Drosophila melanogaster: one gene and its partners. The gene in region 2 interacts genetically with the main gene of each other region. Each region holds a gene or a part of one and is shown on either strand. Other genes may lie near its edges.

Region 1 (7,259 bases), on a different chromosome or scaffold from region 2:
CTGATTCTGGTGCACCTCCCAATCGGACAACCGAATCCAATTGGAGCTCTGGGTGGCCAGCTTGACCATGGCACATCTGTCCAAGGCGGAGGCCAGACCCTTTTTGCCATATGAGTCGTGCGTGGGCGAGATGATGCCACCTACCACTCTGTGGGTTCCCTGCATTTCGAAGTGGTCCTTGGCTATCTCTGTTGACAAAAACATGCCGCGTAATTTTATCGATTATGTACCGCAGAATTTCACAATCTAGTTTAACTCACCGAACATCCGAAGGTGCATGGGTGTGGGTGGACTGAAGCATCCGCAGGCTATGAAGGCGATCCGCGGCAGCAGGCTTTTTGTTTCCTCGATGAATGCTGACATTTTCTTCGATTTTGAGCGTCTTTTAAAAGATCCAAACCGCCGGAAGCATTCGCTTGTTATGTTGTTCTTGGGCCAGCTGATTTTCACAATCATCTGTTCGGCTTGTTGTTATTTTCCAACACTAAACAGCTGTGCAGTGGCTACCACCTCTGACTACCTTTGACTTGTTATTCGATAAATGATAACTTAATGTAACTTAATTTTTTGATTTTTAATCATCAAAAAGGCAAGAGTACATAAAAATGTATTAAAGCCTGTTTTACTGATATATCAAGAAGTATACAAACATCACTGCGTTTCTCATTAATAAGTACTTTTTTCGGTGTACCACACGAACATTGCTTTCGCTTGCGATAGTTAGCCAGCCCTGCCAGAACGATTGCCTGACGATACTAGTGTTATCGATTAGAAATGGCGTCCTCACTGTCTTTCTTTTAAGAAAAATTCGTGTAGTCTATTTACCATTTAGCAGCGTTGTGTGTGTCCGTTAATTGTAAGGACACGCTGTTTCTTAGAGAGAACCGCCTGGCTAGAGTGTCCGGAAAGCGGAAACCAAGACGATCGCAGGACGAGGTCGCGGAGCCGACTGCAAAAACAACGGCCAGCAGGCAGCGATATGAAAATGCATTTGTAGCCTTAGCCCACAACACTTGCACACACACCACACACTCTCGCGCACACTCACACACAGGGAAAAGGAGGTGGAGCAGAAGGAGCCGAAGCAGGAGAGGATTGCAAGGGACACCGCTGCAGCATCGCCATCATCTGCGCCAGGTGGAACACGAGGGTCAAGAGGCGTCGGCGGGGGAGGAGGAGCAGGAGGTGGAGGAGCGGCTGCGGCGACGACGACGACGTCCACGACCACGGCAACAACAAATGGCGCTGGTGACGGTGCAGCGCTCTCCCAGTGTGGCGGGCTCCTGCTCGAATTCGGTGAGAGGAGACTTGATGGTTTTCGCGTGTGCGTATGCGTGTGTGCTTTGTTTTGGTCACCCCCACTCTGCCAGGAGAGCCAATTACGGGCAGGCTCTTTAGTGCGTGTTCCGCTTTTGGCCATGATCCTTTGTGTGCTCGGATGTGCTTTTCATGCCCAATGTTTATCATCCGCCAGCTTGTTGCTTACGCTTTTTGGATTTCGACGTTCAACGTTCGCGTGTGGGCGGTATGAGGCAGCGTCATCATCGTCATCGGCTGTGCTGCGCTGCGCTGCTTTTGGTGTAACCCAAGCAAATCCGCAGACGTCGCGACGTCTATATTTTTCAACAGACTTTTGCATTGCCTTATTTGTCGTTTTTGTCGCTTTCCGCTTACCGCTTGTTTTTGTTTTCTTCGCCGCCCCACCGCCCAAAAATAGTTCGCGAGACCTTGACGTCCGCCTGCACAGAGGGAAAAATTAATATCGGGGGTTGATCAATTTAATTTTACAAAACGTTTTAATTCAGATATGCTCAATATGTCAAATCGGTATTTTTGAACACATAAATTAACATTTTATTATTTCTAAGAAATCAGAAAATATAAAAAAAAAAAAAATACTTCACTAAACCGGAATCTTTTTCGAACTTGTGACCCTTTTCTCAAAATCAGACGGTATTCAGTTGAACAATCAGATTTCTTGGAACTGCAGATACAGCTTTGCTTCTTTTCCGCCCTTGAAGTGTAGACTATAATCAGGAGTTTATCTTACCCCTTTGCAAAATAATGAGCATGCAAGTTTGTTCTTTGCCAGACGACATCCTTATATTTAGCCTAACCCCACGGGTGAGGTGCAGCAGGATAAGGTATTCTTAAACACCGAGTAAACAACTTTCCTTTCTCTATAACATCAGGATGGCGAGTCCGAGGACGACGAGGGCAATAGCAAAGGAAACGATCGCAGCGAGTGCTTCTTTGCCGGCAAGGGAACCGCCCTGGTACTGGCTCTTAAGGATATCCCGCCCCTGACGCAAAGCGAGCGTCGCCTGAGCACCGACTCCACCCGCTCCAGTAACAGTACGCAAAGCAACAACTCGGACATCCAGCTCCACCTGCAATCAATGTTTTACCTGTTGCAGCGCGAGGACACGCTAAAGATGGTGCGTATCCAATGTAAAATTACTTTGTCTATCTTTTAAACATATCTTTCTATTCCTATCAAAAGGCTGTCAAGTTGGAGTCACAGCGGTCCAACCGCACGCGCTATCTGGTGATTGCATCGCGTAGTTGTTGTCGGAGCGGCACCAGCGACCGTCGGCGCCACCGGATCATGCGTCACCACTCGGTAAAAGTTGGTGGATCCGCGGGAACAAAGTCGTCCACCTCCCCGGCGGTCCCCACGCAGCGTCAGCTGTCCGTTGAGCAGACCGCCACAGAGGCCAGCAGCAAATGTGATAAAACAGCAGACAAGGAAAACGCAACGGCGGCCGGCGACAACAAGAATACCTCGGGCATGGAGGAGTCCTGCCTGCTGGGCATAGACTGCAACGAGCGGACCACCATTGGCCTGGTGGTGCCCATCCTGGCGGACACCACAATTCACCTGGATGGCGATGGGTAAGACTGGGCATTCATCTCGTAAGAGTCATGCACTCATAACTGCCTAATTGTCGCTATTAACCTTGGGAATTATTTATAGAATTAATTTAAAAATTAGCCGCCCCTAATCTATACACAAATCGGTGTCGCCTTGACCAATTTCCTAGTTGAGCGGTGGCATTTATGTCGCACATTTGTTTCCAATTTATCTTAAGCTATTTTAATAATAGCATGGCAGAGTGTATTTGTTCTGATAAACGTGTGATGTGCATTTCCTTAATTTCAATGGTTTATCTTATCTTGCTTTCAGCGGATTCAGCGTCAAAGTGTACGAAAAAACGCATATATTTAAGCCGGTCTCAGTGCAGGCCATGTGGTAGGTGCCTCCTTTGGAGTCAGATCCCCTTCAGTCACAAATTAAACCCTTGTTTCTTTCCAGGTCCGCGCTGCAGACGCTGCACAAAGTGTCGAAAAAGGCTCGTGAGAACAACTTCTATGCCAGTGGACCCTCCCACGACTGGCTATCCAGCTACGAGAGGCGCATCGAGTCGGACCAGTCTTGTCTGAACGAGTGGAATGCCATGGACGCGCTCGAGAGCCGCCGACCACCTTCGCCTGATGCCATACGAAACAAGTAAGGGTTCGGTACAACTAATTATTTACGGTTTTAATTCCTCTTTCCCTTGAATGCCATAAACAGACCCCCCGAAAAGGAGGAAACCGAAAGTGTCATTAAGATGAAGCTGAAGGCCATCATGATGTCAGTGGACCTGGACGAGGTCACCTCCAAGTATATACGCGGACGCCTCGAGGAGATCCTGGACATGGATTTGGGCGAGTACAAGTCGTTTATCGACGCCGAAATGCTCGTTATTCTAGGCCAAATGGATGCCCCCACCAAGATTTTCGAGCACGTCTATCTGGGATCAGAGTGGAATGCCAGCAACTTGGAGGAGCTGCAGAAAAACGGGTATGTTTAAGAGAAAAAAAAGGCCACACTATTGATATCCTGGGAAAATTGGCTAAAATCAGCGACAACTTATTTTCATTTTCAGCGTTCGCCACATCCTGAACGTGACGCGGGAGATCGATAACTTCTTTCCGGGCACCTTCGAGTATTTCAACGTTCGCGTGTACGACGATGAGAAGACGAACCTGCTCAAGTACTGGGACGATACGTTCCGCTACATCACGCGGGCGAAAGCCGAGGGATCCAAGGTGCTGGTGCACTGCAAGATGGGCGTCAGCCGATCCGCCTCGGTTGTCATCGCATATGCCATGAAGGCTTACCAGTGGGAGTTCCAGCAGGCGCTAGAGCACGTGAAGAAGAGGCGCAGCTGTATAAAGCCCAACAAGAACTTCCTCAATCAGCTGGAGACGTATAGTGGGATGTTGGACGCCATGAAGAACAAGGAGAAGCTGCAGCGCAGCAAGAGCGAGACGAACTTGAAGAGCACAAAGGACGCGCGACTGTTGCCTGGTAGCGAACCAACGCCCCTCATTCAGGCTCTAAACCAGGCCAAGTCGAAGTCGACTGGTGAAGCGGGCGTAACACCCGATGGCGAAGAGGAGGATGGTTCACGCATGCACCGGCGATCCATCGCCCAGAAGTCACAGCGTCGCATGGTTAGGCGCTCGAGCAGCACATCACCCAAAACCCAGACGGCTGTGGTTACCAAGCAGCAAAGCCAGTCTATGGAGAACCTTACGCCGGAACGTAGCGTGGCCGAGGAGCCAAAAAATATGCGCTTCCCAGGCAGCAACGGCGAGAACTACAGCGTCACCCAGAACCAGGTGCTGCACATCCAGAAACACACGCCTCTGTCAGTGCGCACACGAATTCACGATCTCGAGGCGCACCGGGCGGACCAGCTGCCACAGCAACCTGTCTGGACCTCGCTGACAAAACTGATTACACAGACCTCTCACTTGGGAAAAAGTGTCAGTGGCAGCAGTAGTGGAAATATTGACTCGCGGCGGGATTCTAGCTGTTCGGATGTATTCTCCTCGCAGGTGGACAGTGTTTTTGCCAAGGATGAAGGGGAGAAGCGCCAGCGTCGAAAGACGCACTCCTGGACAGAGTCCTTGGGTCCAAGTGGCGGCATCGTCCTGGACCCCACGCCACAGCAACAGAAGCAGCAGTCAAACGCCATTCTGCGTCCCCGAGGCACACGTCAGCGGGAGCTGCCTTCGCGGCACGCAAGTTGGGGATCAGGAGACAACCGATGCTGTCTGCCGCAGAGGACCAGTTCCGGCTCCTACTATGACTCCAATCGCAACACTACGGCCATCTTCGAGGGCGTTATCCAAGACCTCAAGCGCAGTTCCAATTGCAATGTAATCGAAGGAGTCGCCGTTGCTGTGGAACCGATAGTTGGAGTTGGCGAGGGCACCGTAAAGCGCACCAAGCAGAAGCTGGAAGAGAGCACCTCGCTGAAAAAGCGCTGCCAGGAAGAAAGCCAGGAGCTGCTACTCGAGGCTGTGGATGCTGGGCAGAGGCGGTGCCCAAGCCTCTATAGGAGCGCCTCCTCGGCGCACAGTCCGCGGCAGCGTCAGCCACTACGCTGTAATAGTGAGGAGCTGATGCACACCAGCGACATCGAGAACAAGAACACCACGCCAGGCGACCATGAGGCGACGGTAGTGCTGCGCGTCCAGGGACAAACGCTGGCCGACGATCAGCGCATCTCGGGCAATGTGCAAATACTCAAGCAAAATTTCGAAGCCAAAGCGGGAGTGGTGGGCACAGGAGGAGGAGGAGGCGGTGGCACTGCAGCGGGATCGGGCAGTAGTTCAACAATCGCAACGTCGGTATCGGCGGTGGCCGGAGCCTGCTCAGCGAATCCCGGCAAGAAGACGACTAGCCACCAATCACTGCCATCGTCGCCGGTGGCGCAGCATGCCAACCACGTGTCCGCCGCCTCCAACTCCAACTCCTCCGCCTCCAACTCGTCCGATTCCAGCGTAAGCGAAAATTGTGATCGTAATGTAAAAGGTCTAGTGCATAAATATCAAACCACTACTTCCTGCAGTAGCCAGGCGGCCGCCACCCCCACAGTCGCCTGTGCCCCACTGCCACCCGCCGGAACCGCCAGCAACATCAGCCACTCCTGCAGCACCACTACCACTACTAGCTTCAAGCAACGCCCGCTCTCCTACTACGACCGCTCGCTGTCCAACAGATCCACGCATGACTATAGCGACAGTCGACCGCCACCCGCGCCCGTCCGCGTCAGTCACAGCAGCAACGTTCAGCACCAGCAACAGCAGCAGCAACAACTGCAACCGGAGCAGCATCAGCAGCAGGTGCAGATCCGGCGGTTGGCGCAGCACGGGAAGACGCATCCGCTGAGCAGGCTAAGTGCTCCGAAAACAGGCTTTAACACCGCCGCCTACAACACCATGTAAAGGCCATGCTCTGCTTAACAACATGCTAACTGCAAACTGCAACATTCACATACCACTTGCAACTTGCAATCCATACCCTGTAGCCACTAAGGATCGTCCTCATCCTATCGCCTGCTTTACTTATTTATATACTCGCCCGCTTTCGACCATTTTGTGTTTTTTGTCCAACAATCGAACACCACCACCCCATCCATCCCCTCCATCATGCCTCGTGTTTGTTGTCTTGTTGTGTAAGGCGTCCATGAAAGCTTCTAAAGATCTTGTGTCTGCAATGTGTGAATGGAACTATTAAGATGACAAGAGAGGGCAAACAAAACAACCTATGGAAATGAAACTGTATTTGTACTTTTAAATTACTTGTAACTGTATACATATTTATTTTATATTATGCAAGAACTGCCTACGAATAAACGATTTATTGTATATACGTCATCGTCTTGTCTTGTGAGTGTCCCTGTGCCGTCCATGTGCCATTCACACCACAACTCCCATGTGTTGCCCAACAAACACTGCCCTCCGTTTTTACCAGATTTGTATTTGCAGCCTTATCCACATGATCCGCTCCTTCCGCTACTCTTGGGCGGAGTACAAGAAGTGATCCGGCACATGGAGCACCGACTGCCGAGGCCGCGGCCCAAAAGTTCCCACCTTGAACACTTGTATTTTTTGCCATTTATCAGACCACATATTTATAAATAAAAATGTGTAATCCAATTTCGAGCGCAATCTGTTTTACTGTTGGCCATGAGTCACCTTTGGGTACACACATAATTTAATAGTGACCGGAGATATGAATTATTTTCACATATTGTATAATTACAAAGAAATTAACAATTACTATTTAATATAAATGTAATTTGATGTAGTTTGGGGATTTTAAAGTTAAATGTAGATATAGCAAGGTGTGTATGGAAGGAAAAAATATATGGGTTCTAAAAAGTTTTTTTTTTAACAAAATCCTTATCGATTTGAAA
Region 2 (4,983 bases):
ATAAACATTTCGCACCCGAATGTCGCTTTACCCTTTTTTTTCTTTGCTTTGCCCTGGGGAAAGTCATGTTTTATGCATGTTTTATGCATGTTTTATGCTCTTTTGACACCATCACGAAATGTGCATTATCACAATGTATGTAAATACAATATAAAACTTAGGTAATGTTAGAAATCTAGAACTCACCTCAACAATGCAGCGCTGCACACAATCCCTGGTCACGCGTTCCAGGACCATTCGCTCGTCGACGCCATGCTGTTCCTCCGAAGGATCACGATCCCGATCTCGATCATCTGGATGATGGGCCATCGTTGACTGTGGCCTGCTGCTGATGGCGATGCCCTCGACAATGCTTGGCGGAGCTGCGGCGGCGTGCTTGTGCCAGATGGCCACCTTCTCGACCACATCGCTGTCCAGCTTGGGACGCAGCAGGCGCATTTGGTCTTTGGAGACGGGTTCGGGACTCTGGTGCACCGTATAGTTGTGCGATCGGCAGACATCGCAGCAGATCGAGAGTAGAATGAGCAGGAGAAGATTGATGATCAGTATGGTGGATATGCCGCCATGGCCATCCTGGCCACTGGCCAATTGGCGGCCTAAGCGAGCCAATTGCTGACGTAGATCGAAGGAGCTGCTCTGCTGGCGGACCACAATCTTGCTGGGTGAGGCATTCTGGGAGTTCGACGAGGAGGAGGAGGTGCCAGGTGCCTGCTGATTGATGTGGGTGGTGGTCATCTTGGTATTCACATTCACCGCGATCTTCACATTGAAGCTGATGTTCAATCTCTTTGTGGGCGCCGCACCCTTCGCCTGTTTGTCCTGCTCATCCGACTGGTGGTCTACATTTTGTTGCCAAAACATAGTCATCGAGGCACTCGATCTTCACCCCGAGTTCGCGATTTGTGGCGTTCGATTCCTATTTCACTCGATAATCGTTGTTTGCTTTGGCTGAATTAACATTTTAGTGCCGCATTTGACTGAAAACGAAACTGAAACACACAACACAGTGACCACCGCAGTGTAAATCAAAAGAGAAATAGAAAGAGAGGGGTGAATTTGAACAACGCACAAATAAAAATCAGATTTCAAATAGCAGAGTCAAAAAACCAATTCAATTGGAAATTTTAAGTACACAAACTAATTTCCATTTTATGCAAATTCGAGAAGCAGCAAACGAGGCAGTTACAAAAAATTAAATGCAAGTGATATTTTACGGATACCCTTTACTCAACATTATGTCATATAATGTTAAAATATATGAATACATTTTTATATAATTTATTTAGCGAATTTGAGAAATGAGTCTCGTTAACTTTCCATTAAACAGAATGACTTATTTCTTGTACTTCAATTCATTGCAGTTGCAATTTAAAGGCATAAAAAAAGCTGCTAAAAGGCCCGAACCTAGTAATTTACAAATATTTGCAGTATATCAGCAAGCCAAGTTTTGTCTAATTAATAGATACTCCAATCACTGTATTTACAAAGTGGCAGTTCTGCCCTTGCAAAATGCTATATTACTATCATTTTTGTCAAACCGTCAATTATCATGAGTTTTCCGGATTATTACTCAATTTAGTGTAACAAGCATAAACAATTTACATGTATAGTTGATTAATAGCTGTACCAATAGCATTAAATGATATTTGCATATTTGAAAATTTGATGTATATAATATATTTGATATATTTGATATATATTTGATATATTTGGAAAATAATTAATAAAAATAAGTAGGCAAGTGAATATACCCCAAGAAAAAGCTTAACTACATTGCATTCTACTTATTTCAGATGCAGCTCAAAGGTTCAACGCACATTGCCGGCGAGATAAACAGGGTAAACACAAACACACACACACACAATCTAAGTCCGGATCGATAAGCCAAAATCCCAATGATCTCCGTAACTGGTTTGGCCAGCTTCCACCGCCCAACTCATCCAAATGTCGCCGGGATTTCGATTAGAGGACATGGATGGTCCATGCTCTCATGGTCCATGGTCCAATTAATATGGCGTCTGCATAATCAGCTAGCCAAGCGACAAGTTTCAATTAACATGGCGTAATGCATGGCCAATAAGTCACGCCCCCTTCGACCGACCACAGCAAAAACAACAACAACAACAACAACAACAACAACAATAGCGAACGGGAAGTGGCCATAACAAATTTATCCTCATTAAGATGCAAACACATTCGACGGACGGAGAATAATCGAGCGGAGTCGCACTTTCAAAAACGGAAATCCCTTTTGTCCGCAAGTTCAGCAAAACCATAGATATACATATATATATGTATATATATATATATGTATATATAATAGTTAATTGCACTTTAATTTCATATTTACCAGCAACAACAACAGCACAGCAGCACGGAAAATGTTAATTAAATCGCCCGATGAGCAGACTAGACCGAACAAATATATATATGTATAAACAAAATGAAACAGAAAAACCGAAAATAAATTGAAATTCAAATTGAATAAACCGCGCGAAATAGTGAAAACACGAAAGATCACAGCGGGATTAATTGCATTAAAGTTATTCAGAGAATATTATGCAAAAGCTGCCGGCCAGCGTTTTGCATTAATTAGTCGAAGGTATGTATGCTATAGTATATATATATACATATTTGTACAATCAGAAAGTCAAAACCGATGGAGCCTTAAACTCTCACCCACATTTCGCTCGAATCGCCGCTGTTGAAGTTGTTAAGCGCTGTTCACGCGCTTTAATTCAATTTATTGTTGATTTGAGCGGCTTAATTGCATTTTATTGTTGCAGTTGCGGCCCCAACTGAAAAGCAACTCCACACACACACACATAGGAACACTTAGTGCACGCGAAAAAAAAAGGGTATTAAAAGAGCCGAAATTCATGCAAACACACACATACGCGCACGGATGTATCTTGTATCTTTGAGAACGCAACTCACTCGACAAAATGTCACAGATATCTGGATGTGGATCTGAATCTGGATCTGGATGTGCGATTCCCGAAGCGTTACGTAGTGCGCAGTGGCGCGATCGCAGCAGAACTGATTTGCCGGCGAGCGGCGGCTTTTTAACCAAGCCCCAAGCTCCAAGTCCAAGTCCAACCCCCCAGCTGGAGAACTTGAGCACGGAACTGAAACCGAACCGAAGCGATGCGATGCGATACGATACCATACGATACCATACGATACCATACGATGCGATGAACGATGAGTGACGAAGCGCACCGCAACCGAACCGAACTGAACCGAACCGATCTTAAATGACCATTGATCTTCTTTTTCGTTGACGCAGCAACTATGACGTCATTGGCAGGGCAACCCCTAAACTGGATATCATGGGTAGATAGCCCACCGCGCTCCTCTTTCCATGGGTCAAAGCTCAACTCAATCGGTTGATCGCAGATCGCAAGCAGGCCGCCAGATATTTAAGTTCTTATAGATACATAGATAGATAGATGTATTTTCCATCTCAAGAAACCAATGCCACCTCAAGAGTATCTATCTAAAATATAATCTTAATAAAAACATGATCTTAACATTGTGCATCTAGTTGATTTGATGATTTTCGGTTTTTAATAAGCTTCCGACTTACATAGTAACATCTTTGTATCATTAAAATTAAGGTAATGGGCCGAGGCTATGTAAAATGTATATAATTATTAAATTATAGTACTTATTTTTGAGCTAGACTTATTAAGACTAAATATATTGAAAAGCTTACATCCAAAGAGGGTTAAATTTCAACTTCTTGCAATGGAAAAAAACTTTATTCGTTTACAAATGTTAACAGAAATAATTTAAAATACAACTCAATTTACTCTAAACATCGTCACATGAATAGCGCAAATCAACGCGCTTTTTCGCCAACAAATAAACGTGGCAGAAAATTTGTTTAAATCGTTTAGCTGACTCACTCTTTACATTTAGCTAAGCATTAACAGCACACCTAAATTGATTATTAAACTAATTGATCGCAAGCAGCAGTAAACGCTTGAAAATAATTGAATTCAATAGGGAACTAGCCCACACAATCAGAAAATAAAGTCATCAATTGGGGTGAATAGAAGTGTATTTCCATGAAAAGTAAACGAGATGTGGAAAGTCATAGAAATTTCATTAAAAATTTTCTATCAAACTACAAAATATCATATTTCCATAACTTTTTAACCGAGAAATATGAAGAAAACAAGTTAAGCTATTAATTTCATTGATTTACACAAACATTTAGGTATTTTTTTTTTACTCTGTAGAATCAAAAACTCGCAAGCTAAGAAATATGCAATATTTTAAAGCATTTTCCGAGCATTTGAAGCACACAAGAGTAGGCAATTTTCCGGTTACACATGACTCGTGACTCATACAACTGACACTGCGGGATGAAAAATTGAGCGGCGAGTGAAAGGCTTGCGTGACAGCTTCCGTTTCCGGTTCCGCCATCAAGTCCAAGTATCCCTTTCGCTTATGGATTTTTTGGCCAACGGAAAGGATGTGCCGCAGACATCCAAACTGCACTCGTGCGCACAATTTCTTGGCCCGAATAATCTGTGGAAATCCAATCTCCCGCCTGGGATCATCGAATTCGTACTAATCGTTTGAAATATTCTGGAATTGATTAGACGGCAAACTTATTACACACACTTGACGGAAGATGCGGCTTATCAACCCGAGCGATTCTCAATGGATTCGCCGGCGGACTAGGTGCTACATACCTATTTCACAGACTGTCACGTGAAAATCAGATTTTCGCATTTTTTTCGAAAAAAAAAGGGACAACCCCGGAAATTCACCTTCTGATTGACGTATTGTGCACATTTTGCATGCAAACTCTTTTCAATCTTGAACTGTAGTGAAATTTGCAATTTTGTAGCACTACAAATTGGTCTTGCATAAAAATATTTATTTCTTTCTCTCAGTTTAGTCATTGATGTTTTAGTCTTTTTCAGTTTATTGAGTAAAAGGTTTTATTTATATCGACAATTGAAGAGA
Region 3 (4,915 bases), on a different chromosome or scaffold from region 2:
TGATTGTTGAGAGCGATTTGAGAAGACTCAAATAAATATTTTAACAATTAAAGAAAAGTTATGATACCACAGTTTGCAAATAAATGGGTCCGATTTTCCAAATAATTATAATTTCAGCTCATATGCAGCGAATTTAGTATTTTTTGAACCTCCGTATTCATTATTCATTAATAATTCAAGCCATCCTTTATTTTACTCCCGTTGCCACTATAGGCTGCAATTGTTATTGAACATGACATCAGAAAATGTCGTTGAACCCACGAAGAGAAGGCAATTGTTTTAGAGAGCCACATGCAAGAGCCGTGTCGGCATTTATTCATATTTCCCTGTGTTCATGCGTGGTGAAGTTCCGATTTAGTTGAGCGTTCTTCTTTCGGCTCAGGTGAAGTGTGTGTGTGTGTAGACAAATCATTCGAGTTTGTGGCAAGTCAATAATACTCAATAGAAGGCAATTGTTTTAATAATTTGTCAGTAGCTAAAAAAAAACATAAGTGACAACAGACTCGGTCGTCGCTCTCCAGGAAGGTCGAACGACTACATTTTAATTGACTCAGTGATATAGTGTTAATTTTTAGCTGATACGTCCGATAAAGACTACATATACTAACGGTGAACGTGTTGATGTTATAGGAATTTGAATTAGCGTAAAATTGCACAGGAAGCAAATATTCACCTAGTCTGGCTGGGCATTAATTGACTCGTAATTTACGTAGAGGTAAATACACACATTTCAATCAGATTAGGACAGTAGAAGGAGACGAAATCGCATTTTGTCGATACAGTTTGGTGTGTGGCTAGATTTGATTTCAGTTATACGACCTGTAAGCTGTGACTTTGTGCTGTAATATTGTAAAAGTTAATTTAAAATGAAAAAAGAATATACTGCTAAGTTAGATAACCGTATACTTCAGTGATATTGGCCATACTGCCTAACGTTTTTATAAAAGTGTCCTTTTATTTATTTATTTTGCATTACACAACCCGTTAAAGTTAACATTTAACACTTTCTGTTTACTTTTTATTTCCAGGTAAGTCCCAATATTTCAGTATTTAAGGGTTTTGTGGTCAGGGAAACGGAGAATCTGAGCCATCGACGTAAACACATGTGTTTATATGTGCACATGAATTTCTATTTACATAAGGGAGCTCAGGAACACTCATATTTGGTCAAGTGTTAAATCAAAGTGACTAACGACTATGTTTATAGATTTTGCCCTCCGACTTTTCGCAAAATATCCCCAGGTATTCGTTAATATATTCTTAATATTAAATGGTATGTCCAGGCGCGAGTCCCCACTGCGAGTCCCTTCTGGATTGGATACTAGCCATTAGTATTCCCACGATGTAGACTCTAATATTTTCTATTTCAGCAATGTTCCATAGCATACCTTATCAATGACGAGTTCAATGGCGTTCACAAGAACCCAAGCGGAGACATTTAGAAACAAATAATTTGATTTCCAGTGACGCGACAGTGCTGAGTTATTTTGGTTACGTGAACAAATTAATACAACCTGACATTTTGTCAGTAACAGCGACGAGTTAATTGTTTTCAACTCGATTTGATCTTTGCAATCAACGCACTTTGTGACTAATTGTTGTCGTAATTACAAAACTGTGCAGTTTATCTCGGAGCATCTTAAGAGAGAGGCACTTGGAGACGAAGAGCGAGACCACTCTTCGACGAGCCATTGGACTTCTGGGCCAAGATAAAAGAGACTAAGCACACAAAGATGGATCGAAGAGCGAGAGAGCGGGAACGGTTGGCCAACACGCGGGCAGCGAGCTTGGCTCAAATGGCACACACATAGATGCCAAGGCGGCGGGTGCGAGTGTGTCGGTGCGGTGGCAAGCGGTTAAAACCTTTCTATAAAAATTTCATAAACGTATCAGTTGTCTGCGAAGCGGTGCACAAAACGGACGTGTAAACGGAAGCCGCACGAAAACGGCTCGGAAATCGGAATAGCGCCCGTACACGCAGCACATAGGAAATCGAATCCGAATCTGAGTTAAATGCCTTAATCGAATTTGGCCAAAGCTCGCCTACCGCGCTTACAAGTTTTTTCGTTCACGGGCCGATGAAATCTATATAATCTATTATCCACAAGCCACCACAGAGCCACTAGATGCACTGTGCGGCGCATGCGCGACCTGTTTGTGTTGTTGGCATACTTCTAACAGTCAGTGTTTTCTTTGTTCAAAAGTGCCTCAAGTAAAACCCCACTTTGATATGGATAAGTGGTAACAAGAGCAGCAGTAGCAGCAAAACTGGAAAAGGTACAAGCCCAGGGAAGCTGCAGTGTGCGGAACATTCCTCTGGTGGATCCGAACTCAGAAAAAGATGGGAACAGAACTTTCTATTTTCTTTACTGTTTCGCGTGTGTTTCGCTGGTCATGCAAACATATTTTCTTTGCCTCGGCGCATGCCGCTGGAATTAGAACGGTGTATTCCGTGCGGAATACAAAGTCGAGCTTATTTCGTAAGAGAATTCCTGCGAATCTGGTTATGCAATGCCTGACAGCCCACAAAGTCGTCCTCAAGTTGTTGCGAACTTTATCGTTTACTATGTGCTAAAATGCACAACTGGCTTGCCAAACGGGTGATACATTTTTGTAAGTGCTAAAGCGCTCAGTTCCGTGCACATGAACTTTCTTATACACTGCTGTGCACTTCCACGGCGTTTTTTTTTTTCAGACACCATACCAGGCCTCAGAAATCATATCAATTTCGACTTACGTGACTTGGGCAAACTGCGCCATTTCGCACATATTCTTTGCGTTTAGGCTAAGATTTAAGTTGGCTCTCAGGCTTGGAATTAGCGGAGTTTAGGGCCTTCTTTTATATCGCTTTTCAGCCTTCTCTTGCTGCACTGTGCCGTGGTCGTAAATTTCCTGCGTCATGAGTCATGCCTGTCAGTCGGAGTCGCTTAACAACAGCAGTGGTAGCAGAAAAAAGATAAAGATACAGATACAAAATATTCAGTTGAAAAACACATGAAAATTGCTTTCATGGTATTGAGTGTGGAGCTCCAGATGAGCTAAAGAGAGGCAAAAAAGCTCATTGTTTATGGTAGCTGGCTTCGTGGTCCGCTCTTTGTTGTTGGCATTCCGAGCTGTAACCTCTGATTGTGATCCCTTCGAATTACTCCTTTCAGTTCATTGGTTCTCTCTTCAGCTCCTGCCACTTAAGCTATTAACTGTGGACCGTGCACTTTCCCAAAAACCTCTTATACATACGCTGACGATACTTTGTTTTCAGTTAGAATAAATAAATACAGTAAGGGAATAAAATAAATGTGGTTTTTAAAGCATATATGTGCAATCTCGGAGTCACGTTCCTACTGGAATATTTGCGTCGTCCTTGCACTTCTCTTTTTTGAGTAACGGGTATTTGTTAGTCAAAGAACTCGCTTTGGTGTTTTCTCTTGTTTTTTTAAGAGTGTTGGCGCCACAAAATATTTGATGAATGTGAAGGACGTTCAATTTCTTTTAGTTTCTCTCTTAAAAAAACAATTTTTTTATTAAATTAAGTACACGAATGTCGCGGATATTAATATATATGAAAAGTTCGACATATCGAATAAATTCGAATTCCATGAGTGGAAGGGAACTAAGTCTCGTCACCATTGTGCAATGACCTAAATCACGGTCATAAAATCAAAGCCAAACTTTTTTTTACCATAAGTTTTGTTGTGTTGGTTGAGGTTGTCGGTCAATGGCTATGTTTTTGCTGGCCAAATAGCTTACTTTTGATTTCCACATTAATGGAGCGCAGCAAGCGAATCACAATGTTATTTGCATTAAATTTTTTTGGAGTCACGGAGAAAGTACGCACAAAAGCTATAAATTAGACGGCATCACACAGCTTCTTAATTCCTATCGCTCTCTTGCAATGATTCACTTTTTTTTGGCTACGCAACGTAGACTCGCTCACAGATTTGGCTGAAAACCATCATGTCGAATGGCAACAGAAAGAGTTAGTGTTTGATTTTCGAGGTTTACTAGTTGTGGATTGGCGCACTAGAAGGAAATAACAAAAAAGCAGACAAACATAAAAAACGTTAAACCGGTTCAATTTGGGTCGTAGTACCTTTGAGTGCAATTGTTACCTTTCAGAAACAACGACAACAAAGACTTCGCCAATCGCACTCCATTCCACTCGCTCTGCAGCTCATTATACCCGTTATTATGTTCGTCTTGTTCAGTTTTCTTGGCACGCGTTACCGTAAAAAAAAAAAACTCCCACACAAGCAACCGAAAACACATCGAGCGATATTTTGTAATGACCATGCTTCGAATCGGTTACCATAGGTCAGTCAACAAGTTCGGTGTGAGTTGAGCTTTTATTCAGGGATAAACGCACCGTAGTCTTTTTGTTCATACTCGGTTAGTAACAAAAACTATACAAATCTTTAAAACACTCGAACAATTTTGGTCTTTTTGTACAACTTAACGTATGTAAGAATGTGTAAAATATTGTAAAACACAACGATTTTCTACTAATGTTTTTAAAACATTTTAAAGATATTTTTAAAATATCATATACCGATTCCTCTGAAGTCCACCTACGGCTGTCTAATTCGCTAGATGTTGACTGTAAAAGGTACAGGGTTTTAAAATTGTTTCAATAAAGCAAAATGTTCCCGGATATGTTTCGATCAAGAATATATATATATATATACATTTTATATATACTTTTCAACGAATCTAATTTCCGCTTTTTATCTTCAACTACAGGAATAAAAATATAATTTCTTGGTACACGACAGTATTAGTCCTTGACGTCCGACTCGTGACAAAAACTGCTAAAAGATATAGATTACTATATGCATCAGAGCTTTCAATAGCCTTTCGAAAACAAGACGGGTTCAACTGGTTTTATACAACGTCGTTGCTGTTATGGTTATTGTTGGTG
Region 4 (4,389 bases), on a different chromosome or scaffold from region 2:
CTTAGCTCGAGCTATTTTCAACCTTTGGCCCTCCTCCAATCCCTCTCTCCCTTTTGTTTCCCTGCAACGGAAGAGGAGAGAAGGGAAATGTTGGCTCGGCTTTTGTGGGTTTCGTTTTCTAAGTTATTTTTAGAGTTGTTTGGATGGGTTGAAGTTGCAGGATTTTCTTTTTTTTCTGTATAAACAATATGTTTTCACACAATAAACTAAATCAACGTAAACGACACGTAAAATGCTACGAGTTGTGATGACTTCATCACCTGTACTAAAAGTTGTAATAAGGTTATAGTTAGGCGGGAAATTATGAGGAATATATTTGTAGGTCAGGTTTGGAAAAACGCACATGTATGCTAAACAAATTTGTAAAGGTATTAACCTTAACAATAAAAGAATAGTAGGTTTCTAAAAGTATCTAAATATTGCATCAACAATTTTTTGTTGTTAAAGTATAAATATTTTCTATGAATTCTTATAAGATATCATTTATTTTAATTTCCAAACTTAGTTGATAGCCCATAAAATCACATTTCTAATAGTTTCCAATTTTTAGTGCTAAAAAAAAAAAAAAAACAACTCAGATAAGAAAAGCAGAGAAATATCTGAAATTCTCAGCTACACTACACAGAAGGTAAAATAGTTAAGATTGGCCAAGAATGATTAATAGAGAAAAGCCAAGGAGTGAATTTTTGTCAATAGAGTAACATGAAATACAATTAGCACTAACGATAAGGAAATCCGTGGAATGTCCGGATTTTAATACTTAATACTTCAAAATCGCCCCTTTAGAAGGGGTCAGCAGAGCAAGCAATGACATCATTTAGGGGAGAGGGTGGGTCAGCATGCAGAGAAACAAACAAACAACACTCTTTGCCACAGGAAATTGAAATAAATCAGAGGGAGATGGCAACAGCCCAGGGCTTGGCAGCCATACAATGTTGGAGCTCACATACAAACACACAGGCAGGCCAATTTAACTGTTTATCGCGGTGGCAAACAAAAACAACATCAGAAACGGCAATTGCGAGAGATCGCACCTCAAAAAGAGAGCGAATAGAAAGAGACGGAGAGAGCGAAACATTAATTGAAGTGTCTATCAGAAAATAGCAGAGGATGACGTAATGCGTACGCTTTGGAATTATGAGCAATCAATGAAGAGGCACAAAAAATCAACTGGTACGCAAGACTACTACGAACACGGAATCGCCTGGCAAGCAAACAAAAATATCCTATGCAAACACAGGCCTTCAAGAAAGTCAAGGACACTTGCCCACCCAAAACTTTGGCATATGTAAGGCAAGCACTTTGCTTTTTTTTTATTCGTACTTAAATATCTTGGAAACACAAACAAGCAAAGAGAGGGAGAGTGTGCTCTCCCGCTTTCTCTCATCTGAAGTTGCCGCACCACCACCACCACCCGATGACGTACACACACACAGCGTTCTCTACTCCTGCGTAACCGCACACACACATGCACAACAGGAGCACCAGATACTTTTTCTTAAGTTGCAATTGGAGTCAAGAATTTTGAAAGAAATTCAAAATTTCTATTACTAATCAAGCAGTGACATTGCACAGCATAGCTTTTCAGTTATGGCCAAGACTTTTCTCTCACTTTAGCCCCGTTAATTGGATTTTTGTGTTGCCTTCGAGGGTGTGGCGTTGACCCGAAAAATTTTCACTTTGCACGCACACCGAATTTCAATTGCATTTTGAACCCAACTAACAGTGAGCTACGGACGAAAACTATGTAGAAACTTACACTTTGATGGCAATCTATTTGTTCACAGTTACTTTGTTAATTTAACTATTGATTTGCAGTAGTTATTCGTAATTTTCACGGAGCGCCTCTATTTCACGGGACCGCAGTTTTTTTCAATATGTCGGCCGATTGGCGCAGAACATTGACATCAATATCGCGATTTCTATCGATGTCAATCGATTATAAACATAGTTCTCTTTCTGGTCGCTTTGGCGCCTTAGTCATCTCATTATTTTTCTAGTAGATGTAGATGAGTAGTAGTAGATGATGTAAATAAATTAAAAACGACAGGGTATTTCAATTCAATCTGGTGCACTCATGCATGACTACTATTTCCTAGCGCGGCCCCAGAGTAAGCGGGGCTTATTATGGTATTATTCCGCAATAGCCCTGCGGTCACACTAATTTCCAGAGCAATCCAAAAAAAGGAAGCAGCCGAAAAAGAACAAAAACCTGCAGCATTTACATTCAAATATAAATCCGAAGCAAAGAAACAGCAAAATGGTGGACTACAGCAAGTGGAAGAACATCGAGGTGAGCCCACTGCTGGGTGCCAACCCAAAAAGTCCTCCTAATCGGCACACTACCTTTTAGATTTCGGATGATGAGGACGACACTCACCCAAACATAGACACGCCTTCTCTGTTCCGCTGGCGGCACCAGGCGCGCGTGGAGCGCATGGCGGAGATGGACCACGAGAAGGACGAGCTTAAGAAAAAGCGCCAGAGCTACCAGGCGCGCCTCATGGACGTCAAGGAGCGGATCTCAAAGAAGGATGGCGACGAGGAGGCCCTGAAGGTGGGTCATTGCACCGAATGCACTGCGCACTTGTTGCTTAGGCTAATGCCTGGTCTGGGAGTTCCCTATGTTCTCAATCCATCTAATTTATTCTTATTGTCAAGCTTATGATTGACTATCATCCTAAGTGGCCATCCATCTTTCATCGCAATGCTTAATCCCTAATTTGTATCGCCTACAGAAAGAGCTCGAAAAGATCGAGGCCGAGGGCAAAGAGCTGGACCGCATCGAGAGCGAGATGATTAAGAAGGAAAAGAAAACACCCTGGAACGTGGACACCATCAGCAAGCCCGGCTTTGAGAAGACCGTAATCAACAAGAAGGCCGGCCGCAAGCCGGATGAGAATCTGTCCGAGGAAGAGCGAGAGCAGCGCATGAAGCAATTCGTCAAGGAGAACGAGAAGCTCTGCCAGCAGTATGGCATGCTGCGCAAGTACGACGATTCGAAGCGGTTTCTGCAGGAGCATCTTCACTTGGTGGGCGAGGAGACGGCCAACTACCTAGTCATTTGGTCCATCAACCTGGAAATGGAGGAGAAGCACGAGCTGATGGCCCACGTGGCGCATCAGTGCATTTGCATGCAGTACATTCTAGAGTTGGCCAAACAGCTGGACGTGGATCCTCGCGCCTGTGTCAGCTCCTTCTTCTCAAAGATCCAGCACTGTCATCCCGAGTACCGCGCGCAGTTCGACAGCGAGATCGAAGGTTTCAAAGGACGTATCCAGAAGCGTGCGCAGGAGAAGATCCAGGAGGCGATAGCCCAGGCCGAAGAGGAGGAGCGCAAGGAGCGCCTCGGACCTGGTGGTCTGGACCCAGCCGATGTCTTTGAATCCCTGCCCGATGTACGTTCTAGTGATTCACTGTATGGGAATTACTTGACTAACTTTTCATGTATTTGCTCCGCAGGAACTAAAGGCCTGTTTCGAGTCCCGCGACGTAGAGCTGCTGCAGAAGACCATTGCGGCCATGCCCGTGGACGTCGCCAAGCTGCACATGAAGCGTTGTGTGGACTCTGGTCTCTGGGTGCCCAATGCCGCTGACTTGGAGGGTGACAAGAAGGAGGAAGATGACTCGGATGACGTCGCCGGTGGCGAGGAGAAGACCGACGATGCCAAATCAGAGAGTGCAGCCAAGGAGGAGCCCATCTACACTGGCGTCAGCACCGAGGACGTTGACTGATCGCCGCCACGTTTCCATCTACACCATAGCTCTAATCTTAATGTATTTGTCCACAAGCATATTTCATCCATAGCCAGATCCTGCGTCAGTTGAGTTATTGTATATAATTTGAATAAATTCTCAGTCACACGTCAAACATTCTGTGAACACTTCTGCCAGTTGTTATACGCTTCGACTCCGAATAGAAACAATGAACCGGCCGGAGCTGGACTACTACGCGGTGCTGGATCAGCCCAGAGGCGCCACCAAGGAGCAGATTACTCTGGCCTACCGCCGCCTGGCCATTCGGCTTTGCCCACATCGCGACAAGAAGGACGAGCAGGACTTTGTGCCGCTGGCCCAGGAGGGTCGTCTCACGCACCTCTCACCCATGGGCGAGCCCAGGCAGTGGGCCTACGTCAACATGGCCTTCGATGTGCTGGGCAACGATCTGTACCGGGCCATATACGATCGCTTTGGCGAGGCGGGTTTGTTCGAGGGCGTCATGCTGCCGAACGGATACTTTCCGCCCTATCAGTACGACGGCGACCACATGAAGGTCTACGAGCGGGTCTTCGGTAGCTACTCGCCGTATGCCAACGTGATCGATGCGATCTCCAATCCACCGAGCTTGTACGCTACGCGCCAGCATGGCATTGGCGTGCGTTCCAAGGA

Evidence for each region.
Region 1: of sev (region 2) and ssh, changing one suppresses a phenotype caused by changing the other (phenotypic suppression), as found in Drosophila melanogaster (one study listed by BioGRID).
Region 3: of sev (region 2) and Src42A, changing one suppresses a phenotype caused by changing the other (phenotypic suppression), as found in Drosophila melanogaster (one study listed by BioGRID).
Region 4: of sev (region 2) and Cdc37, changing one enhances a phenotype caused by changing the other (phenotypic enhancement), as found in Drosophila melanogaster (one study listed by BioGRID).

What each region holds. Positions count from the first base shown.
Region 1 is NT_033777.3:24,938,455-24,945,713, reverse strand, and holds ssh (slingshot), read left to right. Parts: upstream 1-1,818; 5' UTR 1,819-2,064; coding exon 2,065-2,124; intron 2,125-2,192; coding exon 2,193-2,438; intron 2,439-2,503; coding exon 2,504-2,895; intron 2,896-3,187; coding exon 3,188-3,253; intron 3,254-3,316; coding exon 3,317-3,511; intron 3,512-3,577; coding exon 3,578-3,847; intron 3,848-3,932; coding exon 3,933-6,285; 3' UTR 6,286-6,711; downstream 6,712-7,259. Other genes in the region: Nmnat (nicotinamide mononucleotide adenylyltransferase), read right to left, coding at 1-188, 261-456. UniProt on the Drosophila melanogaster protein: Protein phosphatase which regulates actin filament dynamics. Dephosphorylates and activates the actin binding/depolymerizing factor tsr/cofilin, which subsequently binds to actin filaments and stimulates their disassembly. Required for axon growth.
Region 2 is NC_004354.4:11,083,259-11,088,241, forward strand, and holds the start of sev (sevenless), read right to left. Parts: upstream 3,042-4,983; 5' UTR 2,938-3,041; intron 990-2,937; 5' UTR 868-989; coding exon 187-867; intron 1-186. UniProt on the Drosophila melanogaster protein: Receptor for an extracellular signal required to instruct a cell to differentiate into an R7 photoreceptor. The ligand for sev is the boss (bride of sevenless) protein on the surface of the neighboring R8 cell.
Region 3 is NT_033778.4:5,991,101-5,996,015, forward strand, and holds the start of Src42A (Src oncogene at 42A), read left to right. Parts: upstream 1-1,891; 5' UTR 1,892-2,277; intron 2,278-4,915. UniProt on the Drosophila melanogaster protein: Required directly or indirectly for the phosphorylation of drpr which is necessary for the interaction of drpr with shark and subsequent glial phagocytic activity.
Region 4 is NT_037436.4:1,793,440-1,797,828, forward strand, and holds Cdc37 (cell division cycle 37), read left to right. Parts: upstream 1-1,952; 5' UTR 1,953-2,260; coding exon 2,261-2,293; intron 2,294-2,353; coding exon 2,354-2,557; intron 2,558-2,738; coding exon 2,739-3,398; intron 3,399-3,414; exon of another isoform or gene 3,415-3,462; coding exon 3,463-3,735; 3' UTR 3,736-3,868; downstream 3,869-4,389. Other genes in the region: CG12020 (uncharacterized protein), read left to right, coding at 3,926-4,389. UniProt on the Drosophila melanogaster protein: Co-chaperone that binds to numerous kinases and promotes their interaction with the Hsp90 complex, resulting in stabilization and promotion of their activity. Required for cytokinesis and chromosome segregation in mitosis and male meiosis.